Kluyveromyces lactis: one gene and its partners. The protein of the gene in region 3 interacts with the protein of the main gene of each other region in a biochemical or structural test. Links are inferred from orthologs where the notes say so. Each region holds a gene or a part of one and is shown on either strand. Other genes may lie near its edges.

What was found.
Region 1: the proteins of TFB3 (region 3) and SSL1 are reported together in a solved structure, tested with the Saccharomyces cerevisiae proteins (2 studies listed by BioGRID, with this or other methods). The link is inferred for Kluyveromyces lactis from reciprocal best matches to the Saccharomyces cerevisiae genes TFB3 and SSL1.
Region 2: the proteins of TFB3 (region 3) and SSL2 are reported together in a solved structure, tested with the Saccharomyces cerevisiae proteins (2 studies listed by BioGRID, with this or other methods). The link is inferred for Kluyveromyces lactis from reciprocal best matches to the Saccharomyces cerevisiae genes TFB3 and SSL2.

What each region holds. Positions count from the first base shown.
Region 1 is NC_006041.1:850,359-853,679, reverse strand, and holds SSL1 (TFIIH/NER complex subunit SSL1), read right to left. Parts: upstream 2,094-3,321; coding exon 627-2,093; downstream 1-626. Other genes in the region: KLLA0_E09593g (uncharacterized protein), read right to left, coding at 2,385-3,321. UniProt on the Saccharomyces cerevisiae protein: Component of the general transcription and DNA repair factor IIH (TFIIH) core complex, which is involved in general and transcription-coupled nucleotide excision repair (NER) of damaged DNA and, when complexed to TFIIK, in RNA transcription by RNA polymerase II.
Region 2 is NC_006041.1:1,154,021-1,158,276, forward strand, and holds SSL2 (TFIIH/NER complex ATPase/helicase subunit SSL2), read right to left. Parts: upstream 2,801-4,256; coding exon 224-2,800; downstream 1-223. Other genes in the region: SRP40 (Srp40p), read left to right, coding at 3,326-4,256. UniProt on the Saccharomyces cerevisiae protein: ATP-dependent DNA translocase. Component of the general transcription and DNA repair factor IIH (TFIIH) core complex. When complexed to CDK-activating kinase (CAK), involved in RNA transcription by RNA polymerase II.
Region 3 is NC_006039.1:1,296,043-1,298,810, reverse strand, and holds TFB3 (TFIIH/NER complex subunit TFB3), read right to left. Parts: upstream 1,470-2,768; coding exon 513-1,469; downstream 1-512. Other genes in the region: CGI121 (Cgi121p), read left to right, coding at 1-321; KLLA0_C14850g (uncharacterized protein), read right to left, coding at 1,775-2,768. UniProt on the Saccharomyces cerevisiae protein: Acts as a component of the general transcription and DNA repair factor IIH (TFIIH or factor B), which is essential for both basal and activated transcription, and is involved in nucleotide excision repair (NER) of damaged DNA.

The DNA of each region.
Region 1 (3,321 bases), on a different chromosome or scaffold from region 3:
ATGCAACAATCTCTGCTGTATATTCAACCACTTAACAGAAATGTTTAATTGTGAAGAGGATGAGTCCGATTTAATTAGTGAAATCAGTTAAACCGGATTGACAGCAGACTAAAGTGATTGGAAAAATCAACAGTAAGAAGCCAATGCAAATGTAAAGAGACGTACGGTTGAACTCCCTGTGAATCTCAAGTTTGAAAGAACCTACCTGTCCTAGAGATATAGCACAAACTTGATGGTAACAGGAAGTTTATTCAGTACAGTATTTTTTTTTTGTGAGGTCGTTGAAAAATCGGTTGGTATCTTGTTGCCTTTTCTATTCGAGGTTTCATTTTGCAATTTCTCCGATGAGCTGAAAAATTTTGAAAATAATCGTTACTTTTTATTTTGTCACAATCTGAGATGCACTAAACAAGCAGATAATGATTAGGAGATGAGATTTATACAATTGTAGGGAAAGCGGTATCCAGCCAACCCAGGGGGAGTACATTGTAAATAGATGTAAAGGATGTGAGTGCCTTTTTTTTAGTAACCATTCAATGTTATATACAATTTGAGTCAATGTTTAAAAGTCGTTCTTGTGATATTTTCTTCTTGGAACTACCGAGAAAATGATTAGCGGGTTAAATTCATTTGATATTTACATTGATTGGTTTGGACTCACACCCAGGGCAGTTGTGTAACGTTTCATGAATGAATACATCACAATCTATACAAAAATCTTGATCACACTCTTCACATCTGTACCTGCTGCTTGTTAATAGTTCGCCTGTTTTGTTATTTCTTAAGGTGGGGAATCGCTTTTGGCAGCCGAAGCAATAGTCTGTAGGGAAGCTATCTGACACTGGGACTTCTTGGAAAGTCTTAAGAGGCATCAAATGATGATACGATCTTGCTAAATGTGTTGAGAGTATCAACATCAAATCACAACTCGGACATACTGTCGGTAGAGAGCAAACCTTAGTTTTGCAATTGGGACAGACGTAACCACCATGGACTAGAGTCGAATGGCAAGCACAAAATGATGGTGTGTCCTCAAATACTCTGGTAGGGAATCCCATCTTAACCAAGGTGAACCCTTTGTTCACTTTGCTCACCGGTAACGGTGTCACTGCACTTGTGAATAGTTCCTTAAAATGATGATCGTTCAATATAATCCCATAATATGAGTTATCTCCATAATTCGTCTGCTTACACAACTCTTTGCAAACGGAGACTTGAGCAGATAGACCAATAACTTTTGCTCTAATATTCTCATGTACCAATGAGCCAATCGTTTGATGAATATCACCTGGATCTGTAGTTGATAATGCACCGAAAACGATGAGTACTTCTCTAGTACAATGCGCTGGAACATGAAGTAAGAGACCTCTAGCCATCTCTAAAGCATTTTGTAAAGAAGCGTTCCCCTTTGGTTCTTGCCTACGAAGCATCTTTAAAGCATCGATATGTTCTTGAGGGTTACCACTGACCTGCGATATTAGCTGAGCTAAACCATCACGCATAACAACTACACCAATTTGAGAAATAGGATTTTGATCAAAATACTCATGAATAAAGTCTACAGCATATTGTACTGTCATTGCATATCTATTAGGTCGCAAATCTTTTTCCATCATTGCTTCGCTACAATCCAATACCAAGATAAGGGTTCTGATAATACCTCTTTGATACGGAGTAACCGTCTTCTCTGCTGCCCTTTTTTTTCTTGCTTCAACTATGCTTGCCACAATAGCAGCGATATTGCCTTCATCATCAACTTTGACAAGGTCCCAACTTCTTTGAATGTCATCTTCCCAGGCATAACCACCATTGACACCTTGTAAGTTCTTGTTGGACAGCTTCTTCTTCTTTTTCTTCTTCATTTTTCTTGGATCACGACTTCTCTTTGATAGTTGTGAATGAACTCGTTCATCCTCTTCATCATCACTAGAATTCCCATTGCCTGCACCATCCGAATCTGCAGTTTCTTTTGTTCTAACATGCTTCTTCACTTTGTTTTTCAGCACTTTGGTCTGACCATCTTGTCTATGTCTCTTGTTAGTGATTCCAATGATCCGTTCATCGTCTGATTCACTATCTATAATAGGAGGCATTATCGTAATCAAAAACGATTAATAAAATTTGACCAGAGTACAGCCAAATGTAGTCCAATTAAAAAATCGACTAATGCCTGGAGCTCTACGTCTATTCAGCCAAATTGGTGTAGCGTTACTCTTTAACCTTCAAATCTTGCTTCACTTGTTATAAATTCACTAAATTTTCTTACATGATTTTGATCATGTGATCATATGATCAAAAAGTTTCAACACAAAATAGCGAGGGTTGTATGTAAAACCTAATAATCACTGATTTTATTTAACGAACTACACCATTATACTTGAATCTTAAACGCTGAATTCTTGTGGTGGACACTCTTTATCTGAATCCCAGTCCAATGGTTTTTCACTCATGTAGTATTCGATGGTACCACCGTGTTCGAATAGCTCGGAATGTCTAAACCAGTTCTTATCGAGTTCTTTGTCATTGATAACAACTTTCTCAATGAAGTTGTTTCTGACACCAAATTCTGAATATAAGTTATGTGCAAAAATTTCAATATCTGGAACGTTAGGCATGCTTTTAAGTTTCAAATAATTAACTTTCGGACTTGTTAATAAATAAATATCAGTACCAGCCACGGGATAAAAACCTAGAAGGGCAAAGGTTAGCCACGCTTGCATGGCTCCTGCATCAGAATTCCCTGGCAAACCACGCGGTCCCGTCTTAAACTTTGTATTTATGATCCAATCCACTAATGCTGACGTTTTATCTTGTCTGTTAATGTACGCGTAAAGATAAGGTGTCAAAAAACTTGGTTCATTGCCAATATCAACCACGTTCTCATGGCCACAGAACGCATACATATCATCTAAACGTTTTTCAAACATTGCTTTCGAACCAATGTATTCTAATAAAGTCTTCATATCAAAAGGCACCGTCCACCCATATTCCACGGGTTTTCCTTCATATTCATCGTCTCTCCAATAGCAACCAAAGCATGTAAACGGATCATATCTATGTTGAGCAAACGTACCGTCAGAATTCCTAGGTTGTACGAATCCGGTGTAGTCATAGTGTATATTCACACTTTTAGCATTTGGGTTCCAAATGTTACGCCAGTTTTTCGATCTTTCAAGGTATGTCTTTGCTAAATCTTTTTTACCGAGACCTTTGGCAACGATATAAAGGGCAAAATCGTTATACGAATACTCCATAGTTCTGGTGACACTTCTTGAGTAATTTCTTGTTATGTACCCCAATTCAAGCCATTCTTTTAAAGCG
Region 2 (4,256 bases), on a different chromosome or scaffold from region 3:
TACAATATCAATACTGTTGAAATTCACTGTGCAAAAGCAATCATTTCTTTGTTTATTTTAGACAGCGGACGAAAACATCTTTTTATAGTGATTATATGTGGTATATTTAAGTATTAGGATTTTATAAAACTGATTCGTGATGCGATTTTTGGAAAGATGATTCATTTGCTGTTTAAAGTATGCCAGTTTAATACGGATGATAAATTATAAAACCCAATATTGTTCATTTATTTGCACTTCTATAGTACATTTTACGGATCAATGGATGATGATCTCTTAAGTCTTTATTCTTATTGGAACTGTATTCTAGGTATGCCATATCCTCACCACCAGCCAAACCAGCCAAAGATCCTTCGCTCTTAACAGCCTTAGATTTGTTCCTTGGTCTCTTGTTCCCACCATTCTTCCAAATGTAGCTATCGTTATCCTCACCTGCTTCAATGCCTGCAGCTTCTTCGTTTTTGAGAAGAACTTCTTGCAAAAGTTCTCTACGTTCTCTAGCAGAAGAATATGCTAGATTAGGCAAGTTTTCCATACCATGTAGATGGGTGATAACCTTGAAAGCATAACCTTGATCAACTAAAAATGCCTGTCTCTTTGTGGAGTAGTACATTTCTTGAGTATCTTTAGAAACTAGAGAATAGAAGAAGGCGTTGAACCCTTCATCGTTACGTCTCTTAGCTCTTAAAATTCTACCCAATCTTTGTGCTTCTTGACGTCTAGACCCGTAATGAGACGAAATTTGGATCAAACAAGTCGCCTCTGGCAAATCAATCGAAGTATCTCCAACCTTTGATAAGAAAATGGTATTGATTTGGTCATTATATTGAAAATTCTGCAAAATATTCATACGCTCTTGTTGTGGCGTGGAACCGTAAATGAAAGGCTTACCTAGCTTCAAAGCATATTCTTGAAGAGCGTAGACGTTATCTGAAAAGACGATAATTTTATCACCTCTCTTTTCATGATATTGAATCAAAAATTGACACGCCTGGAACTTGGTTGGATTCATAATATATAGTAGCATTCTTTTTCTCGCATTCTCTCTTAGATATTCTTGGTAAAACTCTGCAGTCATTGGACACCAAACTTCCGCACACTGCACATTAGCAATGTGACCTTTCTGTGAAAGTTCCATCCAATTAGCTTCGTAAAGTTTTGGACCAATCAAGAAATTCAAATCACTAATCTTGTCATCTTCACGCACCAAAGTTGCAGTTAAACCTAATTTTGCATGTGCGGCAATAGTGGACACAACACGTCTAAACATGGCTGCAGGTACGACATGTACTTCATCCAAAATAATGAAACCCCATTCTCTACCCGTTAAGAAATCCATAACCTTTTGAGAATCGTACGATCTATTTCTAGTGTTAGCAACCATGGAATAAGTCGAGACCACCAGACCAGATTCAGTTTGGAACATTTCTTTGTTATCTGATGTGAAGACGGCAACATTTTCAGGCTGGAGCGTACACCACTGAAGGAATTGTTGTCTCCATTGCATGACTGACACTGACGAAGTACAAAGCACGATCACAGACTTTTTGATAGTACATGCCGCTGTGATACCGACCAAAGTCTTACCAGCACCGCATGGTAACACAATAATACCACTTCTTGCACGACCGTTACCGAACATTTTGCTCAAGGATTTTTCCTGATATGGTCTGATTTGAGTTGATGGTTTCAAATCGATATCTAAATCTGGATTTCTTCGATCGTTCCTGAAATCATATTCTTCCAACACCGGATAGTCAAGTTCTTGACATCTTTTCTTCACAATTTCGACAGATGCATTGTCAATTTCGAAAGCATGAACCGCATCTATATCATCGTCTTCTTCTTCAAGTTCCTTATTGGCCCCCACGACAGCTGAAAAGACAGCTTCCACATCGTTAGGATCCACTCCCTCTGCATCTACCATCTTATTCGCCATGGTTTTCTTAACCGCAGCATCCACTGCAGCATCGGTATCGATTCTTAGATTACCAATGATTTGATCGTTTAACAACATTTGCAAGATATCAGCTTGAGAAGTTTCCACGAAATATCTATTATGCTTAATGACCAATTTCACCTTACCGTATGATACAGTTGCACTCTTAATGAAGTTGATAATCGAAGGTGCAACAGGAACCTTGGACAATCTGTCCAATACTGCTATGATATCTTCAGTTTCCAAACCAACCGAAACCGCAGCATACAAAGAGTAAGCCGTAATTCTGTACTCATGAATATGAGATGGTCTAGAAACGGGTTCTGCGATCGTCACAAGAAAATCCTGTGCTTGTTCTGCCAATGGAGAGAATGATTCTAAGATCACACGTCCATCGTTAGGCGATATCCATAAAGGCCGCGAGGCATGATCCGGCTTCAATTTTAAGTAGCTGAAATCGTTAGTCTTGAACATTCCTGAAACAACGTCAGGCTCAAAATCAGGGGGAATATCGTCCAAATGTGCATGAAGGATATCATCCTTTGCTGCTAGATTATGGTTCATTCCACTACCAGCAGTTGCAGCAGCAGCAGATCTAGAAGAAGAAGAACTTTTCTTCGATTTCCGACTCAAAAGAGGATTCACTTGAGGAGCAGGAGCGTTCGCCTGCATTAGAGATTCCTTTAACTCAGCTTCCTCTTCTTCATCTAAGACATCATCGTCGATATCTGGGGCAATATCCCCGTATTCTTCATCGTCTGTAACCAAAGAGTCATCTGAAAAAACCGTGTCCTGCACTAATTTCTCCTTTCCACCTCTACTTCTTGTGTGATATGAACGCTTCACTACCTCATCTTCCATAATGACACAATTAGTGTACAGATAGACTCCGGGGATAGACCTTAATTCCCTTGTCCGTCCTTGGACTTTGATTCTTAAACATCTAATTAAAGTTAAAGTTCTCTTAAAATCATCTTTCAGATTAATAATGTTGAGGCAAAAATGATTACCCGGACAAACAATATAACCAGAATGAGCCAAAAACCCAATATAAGTTAGAGTTGGATGACCAACTAATAACCATTGCAACCACTAGGTAGTTCCACGATTAACAATACAACAACGAGGTTGCCGAATAGACGAAAAGGCCGGTTTTGCTAGTTGTTTTTACAGTTTTAGTAGTTGTAAGACTGAAACAACCCATACACCACACCTCAGGACATCGTCACATAGTACGGCAAAAGAAACGTATTGAAAAAAAATTCGAGATTAATAGCGTTATCCAAACGAGATGAGCTTGCGATGAGGTAGGTTCAGATCTTATCCAAGAGCGATTACGATAGGATCACCAGTGGTTTGGGTGAGGAAATAGTCTAATTTTTACAGATGAGTGTTAAGAAGCAAAGTTCCAAGTCTTCAGTGCCAAAATTGACGAAGAAAGATGACAAAAAGGTAAAATCATCGTCAAGTGGTTCAGAGTCTAGTTCCAATTCCAGCGACAGCTCGAGTTCAGGTTCAGGTTCAGGTTCAGGTTCAGGTTCAGATTCGGATTCGGATTCTGGCTCAGACTCTAGTTCAAGCTCTAGCTCAGATTCAGAATCGAACTCTGATAGTAGCTCCAGTTCCAGTTCCAGTTCCAGTTCCAGTTCCAGTTCAGACTCAGACTCCAGTTCAGACTCAGATTCTAGTTCCAGCTCAGACTCTAGTTCCAGCTCAGACTCTGATTCCGACTCAGACTCTAGCTCCAGTGCCAGCTCAGAATCCGATGATGAGGACGAAAAAGACATCAAAATTAAGATAAAAGATGAAAAATCTGAGCCAGTAGCAGTGGAAGTAAAGGTGTCGAAATCGTCAAACTCGGACTCGGAATCTAGTTCTGATTCTAGCTCCGATTCAGACTCTAGCTCCGATTCAAGCTCTGACTCAGACTCCGATTCAAACTCTAGCTCTAGCTCTAGTTCAGATTCAGATTCAGACTCTAGCTCTAGCTCCAGCTCGGACTCTAGTTCGGACTCTAGTTCAGACTCAGACTCAGACTCAGACTCAGACTCAGACTCAGACTCAGATTCGTCCTCAGATTCGTCCTCCTCATCTAGCGACTCCGATAGCAGCGATAGCGAAACTGCAGTAGAAACCGAAACCAACAGCAAACGTCCTCTTGAAACTGAATCTGATTCCACTGAAAATTCCAAAGAATCATCACAAGAACCTTCAACAAAGAAACAAATGATTTCAGCTGGCGTTGATGAAGTATTGCCTGGACAAAGAAAACATTTCTCCAGAGTCGAAAGAGAGAAGATTGCATTTGAACACGAAG
Region 3 (2,768 bases):
GTTGAACAATTGTCGAGTGCCATCTATAAGGCTATTTTGGAAACAGAGTACAATAGAATGCGGACAAGAACTATCCATTCTGAATGCATTTTATCACTATCTCCTAGTTCGAACATTGGCGATGCATTGAACAGATTTGGTATAAAGGAAGGAACAACTGATATAATTGTGATCAAAATCATTGAAGACAGTAATGAAGAACCCTATGATGGCAATGCTTCCGTTGATGGGGACCTAGTTCCAGTCTCGGATGATGAGTTTTCTACATCTGCCGATAAAGAAATTATCAAAACGGTATGTATTCCTTGTGATAAGTTATGAACAAATGAGAAGACTCTTAATAATGAATAGATTACTAACCTAAATGCTATATGATTATGATGAGGATAAAGAGCTACCGAGCTCTTTACCATTGTACTATGTGTTTTTTTTTTCGGTAGAATTACAAATTGAATAAAGTAGGAGATGTATCAAACGAAGAGTTATCAACACTTGCCGTCAACGCGATACAACTAAGAGGATTGTAATTCTTCGCTAATGATACAACCAAGACCCATGAATGCCTCTGTTAACATTCTATCATAAATGAAGTCCGCCCTGAATCCTGAGGCTATATATTCCTTCTTCTTTTGTAAGTCTCTGATGAAAGAATCATTATACTCGTTTTCAACCAATTCGTATCTTTTGTGTAAATCCCTGTCCCCATTGAATGGTGTGAACGGTACAGTATCTTTCTTCTTCATTCTACCATTTGTCATTGTCATGTAAGGATTGTTTCTTAACACTTTATTTAATTCTTCGAGCTTCCTTCTGGCAGAGGATTTCTTTAGCTTGACAGTCTTTTTCACATTTTCAATAACTTCCTCAGCATCTTCATTCACTGTGAGCTGGTTGACAATTTCTCTCTTTGCCCACTCCCTATTAGCCCTCTCTTCTTCTTCTATCTGTTTCTCTAGTAGTCTTTTCTTTAACTTCATTTCCTTTTCAAACTTCTGTCTCTGTTCGAAGTTAGCGACATCTTGTTTGCTCCGCTCTAAATTTGCCATGATTAGCTGTTTGTTTAATTCTTCGTAGGTTCGTAACCTCTCCTCGGTCTTCTCCATATCAATACCATGGTCTAAGTTGTATATAATATCTTCCACTTCTTCTAGGTATTTATCATAATCGTCTTGGTTGTTATCGAAATCTTCCAGCGTCTTGTTAAACACATTGAAAACACGTTTTCTTATATCAACTTCCTTCTCGACACCTACATCATCAAAGATTTGGGTCTTGAACTTATTTCTTCTCAAAATTTTATCGCACCCTTCGTATGGACACTGAGCAGGACCCAAACTGAATATACGATCCACGCATGATTCACAAATTTTATGATAGCATTCTGGATTGATCAAAAACTTCATATCAGGCGATAGATACCTGTCTGTTTTACAGATAGGACACATGTCCTTCTTCTCATCTTCATCCATGATGACGATTCACGTTGATTCGTAGTCCCAGATGATTTAGTTTGATATCTATTTCTTATTCATTGTCCTTACAATTTGTTCATTATTTATCATCAACTTTTCAAATAAAGGTTTCTTGTTTTATACCACCGATATTGAATGATATTGTATGACAGAGACAGCTAAAATCACAAAATGATGAGAAAAGGATTACTTATGCGGCAGGCAAATGATACTGAAGACAGTAAAGGGAGCATTTACTGAGGAGACCTACTGCGTTGGTGAGCAAAATGTGGTTATATTGTGTATATATGATTTTTTATTAGCTAAGTTGGGGCGTTTATTGCCTTTCTGACAGAATTGTATATTTTATATGGCATTAACTTCTTCATTGTCTTAACAGGTTGCTGAAGGAAGGTTGATGTAAATACGATTATCTTTACCATGGTACTAAGTAGAAAATTTTTTGATGGAATTGTTTTACTGCTTTTATTGGTTTCTTCATCTAATCTTTCTCTCAGAAGAGGAACGTAGCTTTCTTCAAAGTGTTCGACACTTGATACAGAAACCAGTTTTATTGATTCGTTCTGTTCAACTTTTGTGGACTTTTTGAGCAAGGGGCTATGTAAAATTGATGGTGGGTTCAAAGGCGGGGTTGACTCCAGAAGAATGTCTTCATCTACGTCTCTGCTCTTGCAAAAATTCATTACCGTACTTTTATCTTTGAAAATGTTAGCGTTCTGATTCTTGTTCACCCTTCTTTGTGCCAAATCTTCCTGTTCCTTCAGATCATCCGCTTGCTTTTTAAACCTATTCAAACCCTCTTGTGTCAAATCAATATAAAATATTATGAGCATTACTGCAAATCCAACTCTCTGGGAAGAACCAAATCCTATGTGCCAGAGGCAGGTGTAAATCGGAGAAGAATTTCCATCAGGAGCCAAACATAAATGTATGGCAGAAGCTCCTATTGAAACAAGAATCGCATTCATTAGGCCATATATGAATAGCTCTTTCCAGTATTTTCTCAAAATTGGATGCAATTCATCATATTCCATTAAGTATTGGTATGCATAATCATAGATTTCCCTGATGGAGAAAGTAATATCATATATGTTTCTTGATATCACGTAAATAGTCATATAGCAACCAAAAAGCCTATCAACTTCAGATAAAGTTAGGTATTTGGTATTAGTCAGTAGGTCGTAAGATTTACCTGAGAAAGTGTATTGTTCGTCTGAGAACGACAAAATATGTACGGTGACAAAATAAGCAACTTTCCATTTCACTGGCCATGAAACTATCCATTTCATGTTCATA